Linked DNA regions of Xenopus tropicalis. Each later gene encodes a partner of the first gene's protein in a complex. Links are inferred from orthologs where the notes say so. Each region holds a gene or a part of one and is shown on either strand. Other genes may lie near its edges.

Region 1 (4,210 bases):
ATGAAGGCTACAGCGAAAAAGCCTGTGCCGCCAGTTTTCATTTTTAGGTTATACCACCATTGATAAACCTTCCATATACAGAAATGTCTACAATTCAGTCCCTCAGCTGTTTTGTTATCCTGGCAATATATTCTAGTACCAGTTTGAAAATAGCTGATTTCTCCATTTTTCTTTTAATTAATTGAAACATACAGACTTTGAAATGAACTCTAAAAGCTGTGAAGCAGAAGTTGGACTAAACTATTCAGCATCTACTGCTGGGGCTGAAATTCCAAACACTGGCACTGGTTATTATCAGTTATCTACACAGAGACAACTTTTTTTTACAATTGAAAATAAATGCAAGATCCACACTAATGTTCCACAGCACTAAGAAACCCGAAATGAGTACAGCTTTCCAGTCCCCATAACTGCAGATAGTTAAAGCTATATTTTCCATACAGTATAAGATTTAGTAATAAGTTAAAAAAAGAAGTGTTACTATGGGAATCACCTTGTGACATCTGGGAGCCACTGGGCAGTCAGGCTAGGCCATTCCAAGGCATGGGTCATCACCAGATCATACAGGAAAGGGGTGTTCTTTTTCCATATCTTATACTCTTCGTTTATAACTCGTTCCTCCACCGCATCATCAAACGCAGCTGCGCACATAAAAACACTCGAGTCAGAATGCACTTTAAGAAAGGTGGCATTTGCCTCTCACAAGTATACCGGGTAGACGCGAAGTAAAGGACCCACATCTCAATGCCCTCAAGATTCCCGCGTACCTCAATCACTAGTACCAAAAGGATGTCCCTTACTCTCGGCTCATACTTACCCTCTTTATCAGCCATAGTAAATCCAGGAGCAGAGACTTTACCGCTTGCGAGACTCAACTTGCTCTTAGAGTCCTCAACTTAGCTCACGTTTCCCCGGTTTTTCCCCTGACTCCTCCCCTCAGTGCCCGGGCCTGTTCCTCCCGCTATTGTTTCCCGCCTCCCCCGTGTCTCGGAGCCGCACACCTTCGCGCCAACAAGACCCAATAGGAACCGTAGCAGAAACGGCATAGATCACCAATCAAGACACTTTACGTCATCAATGGGTGTCTACCAAGTGCGCGCCAGTCAAGAGTGCATGGGACGTCACGTGGTGCCAGTCGGTAGGGACCGTATTCACGGAAGTGAAGTAACAGCCGGTAAGGCAGTGATGCTGTAGGCGTCATGTGATCAAGGAAGGTTTCCTTGTGTTGGTATTAACGAGCACATACTGTCCCAACGATTTAATGTTATGATTTCTGCCATAAGCTACCGAAAGAAAAAGGAGTGTCCAACTTGCCCTGATAGCACCTTCACACGGGCACCACACTGCCATCTCTAGTTACGGAAGTGAAACAAAATGGACCCTTCTACAATTGCTTCAGCCGGGAACACGTGACAGGCTGGTGGAACCCAGTCTCCCGGAAGACGCTTAGGCTAATAGGCTTGAGGCTGCGCACCTGAGAAGATGGACGAACGCTATTATACAATAAGTGAAGAGCAGGTTGCTGTCAAGGCAAAGTACCCACCCGTAAACAAGAACTACGAATGTAAGAGTTATATTACAGTGCTAATGCAACTGCTAGTGGAGTTTGAATGAGCCGTTTGTAGTCGTGTATCTCGCCACTGAAGTTTCCTAACTTTAAGTTCAGGAGCGCTTGACTGATATTTGTCGGAACATTAAGTGAACATGGATATTGGGATAACTTTACTTTTATTACCAGTTTCTATCTGTCGTACACCGTTGTCATGTTACCACATATTGGTGGCTTAAATGGGCAACACATGTAGGTTTGCCACCCTAGGTGGGGGTTAAGCCCGAACAAAGGAGATTGGGCAGCTGGCATTGGGGGTCGGCACAATTACATCAGAGGTGGGCACAATGATGTCTGTGGGGTTTTGAGCCTGGGGCAGGGTTATTGTATAACTTATGCAATTGGCTGGAATTCTGTCCGGTTCAAAGTCACACAGGTGGCAACCCTATCTCTATCTATATTCTGCCTGATGAGTAAAGCTTTGGCAGCTTATCAACCCATGCATGGGCACTAACAACGACTGCGCCTATACCCATAGCTCTAATTTGATCGCTTGGCCCCTGGGCCAAACGATCAAATTAGCCCGATATCGCCCACTCGTAATTAGATATGGAATCTGCTATACAGAAATTAGTTATCCAGAAGGCTCTTTAATACAAGAATGCAAATTTTTAAAAAATACTGATTGAGTGGTTTGCTTTTTTTTGTTTCTGTAATAATAAAAAAATAGCTGCACTTGTTAATATCTAAGCCATGTTGAGGTAAGTATCTTAAAGGACATGTCAACCCCAAAAATAATGTTTTGCCTTATAAAAGAAAACATAATTCTAAGTAACTTTCCAATATCTATTTATTAAAAATGATTAGTGCTTTAAAAGTTTTTTGTAACTGTAATTGCTATAGAAAGCAGCATTTGCTGATCTCCTGGTTGTTACTTTTTAAACAATGTTGCAAGTGTCAGGCTCCTCCAGCAAGTCAGGTCTGTAAAATCTGCTGGACAGGCAAACACTGCTTTTAATAGCAGTTATATATACAAATAACTCAAAATGGGGCTGGACTAATACAGACTAAAAACACTGTGTTAACAGGGATAGGGAGCTAATATTCTTCTTAAAGAATAAGTAACCTCTTTTTTTTTCTATCTGTAAAATTACTCTAAACAGCCTCCAGAATTACCTACCTTTGTCCCAGCATTCTCTCTGATCTGGTTCCTCAGTTAGAATTCATAGATCATTTTTTTTTTTTTGCTTCCTCGTGCAGAATGAAGCCCCGTCCCCACTTCCAGTTCAGTTCTGTCTTTAATTCGACTACCTGTAGTCGACCTGGAGACAGGGCCGGATTTAACTTTGCGACGCCCCGAGGCCGCCTCCGCCCCCCCCCCGAGTGCGCATGCGCAATCGCGCGGCGCCCTCTCCCCCTGAGTGCGCATGCGCGATCAATGCGCAATCGCACATTTAAACTCCCATACGGAGCAGTGGGGAAAGGTCCCGACTGCTCCGTATGGGAGCCAAATTTAAAAATTCTGTTGCGGCGGGGCGGCATGCCGCCCCTAAACTTGTGCTGCCCTAGGCCCGGGCCTTTGTGGCCATTCCACAAATCCGGGCATGCCTGGAGGCAGTCTGTGCATTAGCAGGTTTTTTTTTTTTTTTTGCTGAAACCTGAACAGGAAGTGGGGGCGGGGCTTCACTCTGCACAAGGAAGCAAAGAAAAATTATTAACTTCTAACTGAGGAACCAGGTCAGAGAGAATGCTGGGACAAAGGTAGGTAATCTGGAGGCTGTTTAGAGTAATTTTACTGATAAAAAAAGGTTTACTTATTCTTTAAGCAAATGTGCTGCTTAACAATAAAAGGAAAAAAGTTAATGTAAACCCTATTTATTATCCCGTTATATTGCCCTTTAATTCCTGGTGTAAATTATGTAAATCCTAAACAAAGAAAATTCATAATTAAGCACCTATTTTATTAATGAAAAGCTAATTTATGCAATGTTCTCTTCCAGATCTTGACCACACTGCAGATGTTCAGTAAGTATTTTATATAATATTGTGAAGTTTTGGGGGGAGCACAGTGGCGTTGCACCACAGAAGCAGGTCACTCCAGACATGTCCATCAAATTCAACTTCCTGTTTGAAGGGAGATTTAATATGCTGGTTTTTCAGGGATTTTAACAAAACAGCTCCTGCTTTTAGCCACTTTTACCAGCTCCTCATTTCCTTAAAACACCCATGGATGTCCAGCCCACACCTCCCTGCAGGATAACCCCATGATGGCTCTTAAAGGGGTGAAAACCCAAAACGGGGATATATACTTTCATTCAGGATATATCCCATTTGACTTGTACTATGCATAGGCGTCGGAGCCGTGCCCCGGTGCAGAACCATATCAAGCAAAAATCCAGTAGTTCAAAGGAGCCACACTGTTTGAAGCCGGTCTTATGCAAACAAAGAATGTTTATTAAAAAGTGAAACTGAATATCCTTAAAGGACATGTAAAGCCTACATTTACCTACAATGTATATCAGTTGGGCACATCTCCCCCACCCAAATGGCATCATGTGTACTGCATATATCCCCTCCGCTTGCCAGAACCATTACATTTTCCTAAAGCAAATAGCAGCTTTCACCAGGTGGCCATTTTTCCTCTGATACATAATTGGATAC
Region 2 (7,967 bases), on another chromosome or scaffold:
CTGCAAATGCGCGCAAACATGTCTGCAGCCCCTGAATGTTCACTGTGCGTGTACTCCTCTGATATCACTGAATTCTGCAACTGCTTACTCTGAATTTAGCTGGAGAAGCTAAAAAAAACAAGGGGAATCACCTATATTGACAGGAGGCCAGGGGGAGGGAGTCAAAAACCTGGGTAACTTTAATATTCCTTCATCTGCCGCCTCCATCTGCCCTGCCTTTACTTTCTCCTCTGTCCCATCTACATGCTGTCCTCTCTGCAATTTTGTTATCGTATTTATTGTTCCTTCTACAACACTGCATCACTGTCTACTGGTTTTACTGTCCCTTCTTCCTCCTCTGTACATGCTGTTAATCAACCCTGGCTTCTGCACCCTCCCCTCTCATTCTACTGCCCTCCTTCACAATCATCTTTATGAAATCACAGCCTCCCTATGCCCTTCTCCCCAACAGTTCCTCCCACAATCCTTTTTTCTTCAGTAGACAAACTTGGGGTTCATTTATCAACACTGGCCAAGTTTGCATGTGACCAGTAACCCACAGCAACCAGTTGGGGGTGGAACAATGAATTCAACAATTTGATTGGTTGCCATGACTTAATGCCCATGGGCAAATTTGCCCAGTGTTGATAAATGACCCTCAGGACCACAATTCCTGTTAAATACATTTACACAACAGTCTGCAAAATTCTCAGTTTCTGTTTTTTCTCTTTTCACTCACTTTTTACACCCTCCTCTTTTTAATGGCTGCCTTTTCATATACCTTCCCCACACCTTTTCTGAAACCCTGTATATTCACAAACAATATTCCCATCATTTCCTAGGAGAAATTACTTAAATTTATTGCCAAAGCATTTCCCCAATCATTCATCCACCACTTATCGAATACAATTTCACCCCTCTTTCCTCCCCTAATTCGGTATAGTTCACATATACTATGTATGTCTATACTAGTCCATTTTTCTTTTAAGAAAACATGCTTGTCCCCTTTTTGTGTTTCTCGCTCTTCCTGTCATTCCACTAATGGGACTTTAATGCATCATAACATCCTCCCAGATATAAATGTAATATGGCTGGGTGCAATGATATTTTTACAGTACAGTTGAAGTTACCTCGCCTTTTATGTGGGGTGCTCTTAGCCAATTATAGTTTAAAGCTGGGCACCTACACTTCAATTTTTTCTTCTCTTGTTTCCTGAACTTTTTTTTTTTTTTTTTATTCAGTGCCTTTTAAAAGTATTGGCATCTATAATTGCAGAATGCGGCATAATGGTGCTTCTTATGTACACCAGATGGCGCTACACTTATTTCTATACTTTAATTGTTTTTCTTTATGTTAGAGGCTACCTGCTTTTTTCCTTTATTGAACCATCATTCAGAAGTCATACACTAAAGTTAAAGTCAGATAATTCTTTTGAGTCTGTTTGGTTACATCTTGAGCTGAAACCTGGATTCTTTATTAAGTGTGTCCTACGATGCTTTAGTAGTGCCTTTACTGTATACTGTACTCTGGTCCAGTGGCTTAACACTATTTTAAGTCCTCTGTCCACTGCAATAGGATATCCTGAGGTAATGCTTCATCTTTTAATGGTGCAACTATGGTTTTTTTTTTTTCTCAGTGTTCCTAGCAACAGAGCTTATGGCCTTGCAGATCATAAAGAAAAAGAAAAAGAGCGAGGTGGATCCACTTGATGCTGCCTACAAAGAAGTGAAAACCATCTGCAGCGCTCTCCGTTTACCTGAAGAGCCTTCATCTGATGTCTCGGCCATGTTAAAAACTGTGGAAGCAAAGGTATAGGGATAGCTTCACTTCTACATATAGTTTGTTTGGCTGCTTTTACTTATCTATTGAATGCTGAGGCCTTACACCAGTCTATCCATATTCTTGCAGATTACAGATGTGCTTTCTGAAGGGAATCACAGTGAACTAAAGGGAAAACTGCTTAGTGCAGAGCTGAACGTGGAACAGCTGGTAAGGCAACCCTTTACGATGCCATTTTTGTAAAAAGGTTTAGCAAATAGTGGGACAAATGTTTTGCACTTTGTTGTCAGGGTTTAATTGTCAGGCAATTCAGATTGCATAGGCAATACACCATAGATGAAAATGAATTTTACTGTAATATAATACAGAAGAGCCATGAATATCCTGTATATTATATCCTTATAAATGGTGGTTAGTGATGTAATTTCTCACTGAAACTTGTATATTATAATAAATAATATACCCCATGTTTTAAAATATGAAGATATTAGAAGTCACTTCAGAGTTTCATGACCTGTATAAAAGCATTCAGCCTTAGGCCTCATACCTTAATATGGTCATGAAACTCCTCAGTGACTTTAAATATTTTATAGTATTTTACAATAGGGGGGTACATTATTTGCTATATAATATACAATAACAATAGATTAAATCATTAAGGAAGTCTTAGTACACTCTTTGGCATTGTCTGCTCACAAAATCAATCAAAAGACACTGCTGGTCTAAAGGACCATTTGGCACATTGGGTTGGCTGTGAACTACAAGCAACTGAGAAGGTTTGTTGTGAGTGTTAAAGGAGAATGAAAGTGTTAGGCTTCCTCCAGAGACTTCCTGAACTATAACACAGCAGACGCCCAATACTGTCCCACAGCTCCAGACTGGGATTCAAAATAGACCCTGGCATTTCAAGTACACAGAGGCCCAAACAGCCCCTCAGCAGCCCAATAAATAGTGACTGTCTATGGCATCTTACAGCAGCCCCTCTGGCATAAAATGCAAGTATAAATAAAATGCAGGCTAGCGCACGGGGGCATCACACAAAGACTGATATCCTTTACTGGCGATTACCGGTCAGGACTGATACATTTTTAACTGCACATGCTCCTGACAGAAAAAAAGCCTGAAAAATGACAAGACTTTCACATAATACAGCAGAAATAATAACTTTTTATTCAGTTTCTATTTCTTGTATTTTTTAAAAATTGGTTTAGTTTTTCCTTCTTCTCCAATGAACTCTGTAAGTTAGGTTGCCAACTTTCTAAACTTGGGGTGTCCAGACTTTGGGGGTCTAGGCTGTGTGTGTGGGGTCACCAAGTGTTAATGCCATAGGAATTCATTCGAAAGCAGTACCCAGAGAGTGCTGTATTGAATAAACACCCATTCATCATACCTTTTTTTAAAAATTGGAATTTTGGGAATCCCCTTTTCTATCATTTGATACATTTAGTGATAAATTTCTCGGCAGCATCAGAGACCTGTCAGGCAGCAACTAATGTATTCAGTTGCCCTGATAGAAACTTTTACAAAAGGAGTGTTTTCAGAAGGGACTGAAGCATCTGCTGCTAAGAAAGGTATAAACTATATGTATGAAATGTAACAGTTTAGAAATTCAGGGATGTGGCTTACCAAGCTGCTAGTTGGAAACATGAGATGACGAAAACAAACAAACAAATAATTCTTTTTTTTAACAATTCTAAAAATGGTAAATAGGAATTAAAAGAAAGCTGAAAAAAAGTCTGTGTGAGTACTCTGTGTGATATATGAAAACTATACTTTTGTTTTCAGGCCCAGTTCCCCTTTAAATCTTGGTTATGGACTGCTCTGTATGAAAGCTAAAAGTAATACAGCTTTTGCTCAGTGGTGCATATTTAATTGAATTTCATGTTCTTGTCCTTACAGGAGCGCCTGGAAAAAATCAATGCAGCTCTCTGTAAGGAGTATGAGTGTCGGCGTAGGTTGTTAATAAAACGTCTGGATGTAACTGTGCAGTCATTTGGTTGGTCAGACAGAGCCAAGGTAATTAGTGCCTTTGTAATGTGAATGTGCCATACAGCTAAAGGCCTGTTGGTGGCAGCACTTTTCAAAAATGATCATTTGGCTTGTAAAAAGAAATGTAATACAGATTTTTATTAATAATATTAATTTTAATATATATAAATGTATTTATTCTCAAGTGGAGCTTACATTCTGAGGGCCCTATCACACTCGCACGCATTAGGGTTAATTTTACTAGTAGCAGATTAACGTGCCTGTATGGTTTTGGGAGTACCCAGAGGAAACCCACAAAGACTCATACATACCCATCCTACTACTTGCAGATAGGCTTGAATCAAGCCTAGGACCCCAGCACAGCAAGGCAGCAGTGTTAACCATTGTGCCATTCATTTCAGTGAAAGACCTTTGAGGTGGGCTTGGGCAGAGGCTGGTCACCTCGCCCCCCCTACGCACACAGGAGTGCTAACATTATGGGTTTGGGGGGGCACACAGGGACAAGAGGTGGCAGGGGCGAGAGAGTCCTGACTAGGGTTAGGCAGAACAATTACCTACCCTCCCAGTGCAGCGTTGTGCCCTAGCCAGGTGCCTTTTCTGGCCTTGGGCAAAAGTGGTGCGGCTGTGGAATAGATACAACTATTATGGTAGTATTCTGTCCTCCTCTGGCACTAATCGTTCCATGTTATTTTACATAGCCAAATGTACGAATTCTTTTTGGAGACTAACTTCATTCTCTTTCCCAAAGTCCAAAACAGATGAAATTGCCCGTGTGTATCAGCCACTTCGCTACTCCCTATCTGCAAAATCCACAGTCTCACTAGCACATGTTATGGCTGCCCGCAAGGATCTCTCCAGAATCATCCGCACAAGCAGCGGAAAGATCCGCGAGAAGACAACATGTGCAATAAACAAGGTAAATGGTCCATTCCCATCGTGGAAAGGTCCAGTCAGATTATAGGGGTAATTCACCATGAAATTAAAGTATAATAATATTGGTTTGGAAGCCACGCAGCAGTTCACCACTTCTCTTGACCAGTTAGTCTTTTTTTGTTTTCTGTTTCAGTGGGTCTATGGATGGTAGTTCTTTTACTTCTGCAGAATTGTGTATTCCCATGCATTATACTATAATTACTGGAAGGTAACATTAAAGTATACCCGGTTATTGCTTCACTAGATTTAGGGAGTTCTTATTTAGGCCTATTGCACATAAGAGAAGGACTCTTAGGGTCTCAGATTCTATGAGGAGTCTATCTCACCTTATATTTAAAAAATAATATAGCTTCTAGTGGGTGCATTATAATGAGTAATATCTATAGAGATAAATTAGCTGCTTTTGCAAGGAAGTGTGTTGAAATTACTCACTTTAAAAAGCAGTTTAGTCATGCATGACTAAAGGACAAGTAACACCAAAGAATGCAATGTATTAATTTGAGCTACTATTCTACTTATATGTGCTCCATACAGAAATATTTTCTTTGAAGCCAAACGCTTGTTTTATTGCTGTGTGTTTATTGCAGGTGAATTCCTGTGCTGGCTCAGTTTTATGGTATCATTCTGTTGGCTGCTGCGGATATTACTAAAGTTCCATTTGGTCATGTTCCTTATTTTGTGCAGAAGAACAGGAACAGCACCTCTTGTCTTTGTAGATTAAAATGCCTTTATTGCAAAGTTTTTTGGGGCAAACAACAACAGCAGCAACGTTTCAGGTCACATAAGACCTTTTATCAAGCAGCTTGATAAAAGGTCTTATGTGACCTGAAATGTACAAATGTACAAATCTACAAAGACAAGAGGTGCTGTTCCTGTTCTTCTGTACCAGGATATGCCGATGGAAAGTGGCCATTGGGGAACCTGCACTACTTCTAACTAATCACAAGGCTTGATGCTGACTACTACTCTCCTTATTTTGTGTAGAGTACAAGACCGATAAGTGAACCAGGCTGTCCCATTGTACCTGTATGTTCCAATACTCTAAATTTGTTACCCTTTATACAGGTCCTGATGGGCAGAGTGCCAGACAGAGGAGGGAGACCTTCTGAAATTGACCCCCCACCTCCTGAGATGCCCCCATGGCAAAAAAGACAAAATGATGGAGGAAGAGGAGGATGGCGAGGAGGAGGCGGGAGAGGAGGAGGTGGATTTGGAAGAGGAGGAGGTGGATATAATGCAGGAGGAAGAGATTTCGGGAAAGGTGGTGGAGGAGGATACCACAGCAAAGGAGGATATTCCAACCGTGGCAGCTATAGTGACAGTTATGGTGGACGTGGTGGCCAAAGGTGGTATTAAGGAAGTCTCGTGGATATACTGCAGGAGGAGAGGGACTTGTCACTTATGCAGGGACTCCGTTTTGTGCTGTGAAGGCTCTTTGGGATCTCTCCTATATTTTATATGTGTGAGACAGGGTAGTTCAGCCCAACCCTTTTTACTTAGGTTTTTTACGCTGTAAAAATGAAAGGATATTGCTGATATAATCCTTATTGTAGATTTTATCCCACAGACTGTTCCGCCAGTGTCTCCATACTCTGGTTTGTTACAGGATGTTCCTATGTCTCATTCTCCTGTCTTTCCTTATCCCTCAGTGCATTCATCTTGTGGCGTGGAGGCTTTTTACCCATCACCAACATCTGTAACTTCCTGGCATTGAGTCTACATTACGTACACAAGTAATTCCCTTTATTCTAACTGCCCAAATTAATGCTTGCACCACCACAGCCACAAATTCACAAAAAAGCACAAAAACAATAGCTGTCCCTGTATAAAGGCAATAATGTATTTATTATATCGATTTTAAGGGACATTATATTCAAGGATCATGTGCCTACAAACAATCTATAATGCTCTTAGTAAACTAAAGTAGTTAATAGCCATTTCTGGCCAGTCAAGGAGAAGTAGCATCAAATGATTTGCTTTTGGTTGCTCTTTAACAACGCAGTTCAGTAATACCTTTATGTCAGAGATCATTTCTTTTATTATAACACACCATTCAGGCCATGTTGTTCCAAGACCATATCTGAAACCCACTGTAGGAATATGAGGCCATAACAGGACTAAACAAGTAACACCAAACAATACCATTTATATTTTAAGAGCATAATACCATGTACAAGGCACAAGGGGAATGGTTATTCACTTGGTGAGGGGGGCTGGTTTGTTAGATATCCTCCACCCCTTGATTAGAATGACTTATCTCAGACCCTGGGTCGGTAGCCTGGGCTCCTATTCTGCATCGCAATATAAAAGTGGCCTCAGAGTTCTGTGACCTGTACCAAAGGCTTCTGTATTCTTCTGATTTTATATGGTCACAATCATGTACGTGACTCCTACTGTTCTACATTTTAACTTTATAATACAGGTATGAGGCCCATTATCCAGGAAGCTCTGAATTACAGGAAGGCCATCTCCCATAGACTCCATTTTAATTAAATAATTCTTATTTTTGAAAAATTTCCTTTTTCTCTGTAATAATAAAACAGTAGCTTGTACCTGATGGTAACTAAGCTGCATACATTCATATTGGTGATAAAACAGTCCTATTGGGTTTATTTATTATTTAATTGATTTTAGACTTAAGGTATGATGATCTAAATTACAGAAAGATCCCTTATCTAGAAAAGCTCAGGTGCCAAGCATTCTGGCCAATAGATCCCATACCTGTATTAGTGACTGCGGAAATTGATTGTTAAAATGAAGCTGTGCTGCTGTAAAAAAGGGACACTGCTGTCAGAATGGTGTCCGTATGTAATGTTATGTACAGTAGGGACAAACCCCTCGTACTGCAAGTGATATTGCACAAGCCTGGAGGAATTCATTTCCTGGCACTCAGGCAAGTTTCCTTTCTTGTTTGCTTTATGGCAAAGTGTATAGTTGCTCCAGAATCAAAGTACCATTAAGGGGACCCAAACACCAAAAATGAATTTGTATAAACTTACTCAGAGAGATCCTCTGAGCTAGTGATGTGCAGGTTGGGCTGATACCCAAGGGACCCAGGGATCAGCCTGTCCTCGGCACACCATTTGTGGGTAGTGGGCAGGATTGGGCTGACCTCGGCACGCCATTTGTGGGTAGTGGGCAGGATTGGGCTGACCTCGGCATGCCATTTGTGGGTAGCGGGCAGGATTGCGTTGACCTCGGCACGCCATTTGTGGGTAGCGGGCAGGATTGGGCTGACCTCGGCACAACATTTGTGGGTAGCGGGCAGGATTGGGCTGACCTCGGCA

The links. The genes of interacting proteins can lie anywhere in the genome.
Region 2: zbtb8os (region 1) and fam98b share a complex: the UniProt entries of both Homo sapiens proteins name them as parts of the tRNA-splicing ligase complex. The link is inferred for Xenopus tropicalis from reciprocal best matches to the Homo sapiens genes ZBTB8OS and FAM98B.

The regions. Positions count from the first base shown.
Region 1 is NC_030678.2:90,313,902-90,318,111, forward strand, and holds the start of zbtb8os (protein archease), read left to right. Parts: upstream 1-1,410; 5' UTR 1,411-1,482; coding exon 1,483-1,564; intron 1,565-3,549; coding exon 3,550-3,574; intron 3,575-4,210. Other genes in the region: histone-binding protein RBBP4, read right to left, coding at 494-641, 818-833. UniProt on the Homo sapiens protein: Component of the tRNA-splicing ligase complex required to facilitate the enzymatic turnover of catalytic subunit RTCB. Together with DDX1, acts by facilitating the guanylylation of RTCB, a key intermediate step in tRNA ligation.
Region 2 is NC_030684.2:110,765,502-110,773,468, reverse strand, and holds the end of fam98b (protein FAM98B), read left to right. Parts: intron 1-1,615; coding exon 1,616-1,788; intron 1,789-1,887; coding exon 1,888-1,968; intron 1,969-3,657; coding exon 3,658-3,774; intron 3,775-4,495; coding exon 4,496-4,663; intron 4,664-5,745; coding exon 5,746-6,036; 3' UTR 6,037-7,261; downstream 7,262-7,967. Other genes in the region: decreased expression in renal and prostate cancer protein-like, read right to left, coding at 7,698-7,750, 7,877-7,967. UniProt on the Homo sapiens protein: Positively stimulates PRMT1-induced protein arginine dimethylated arginine methylation.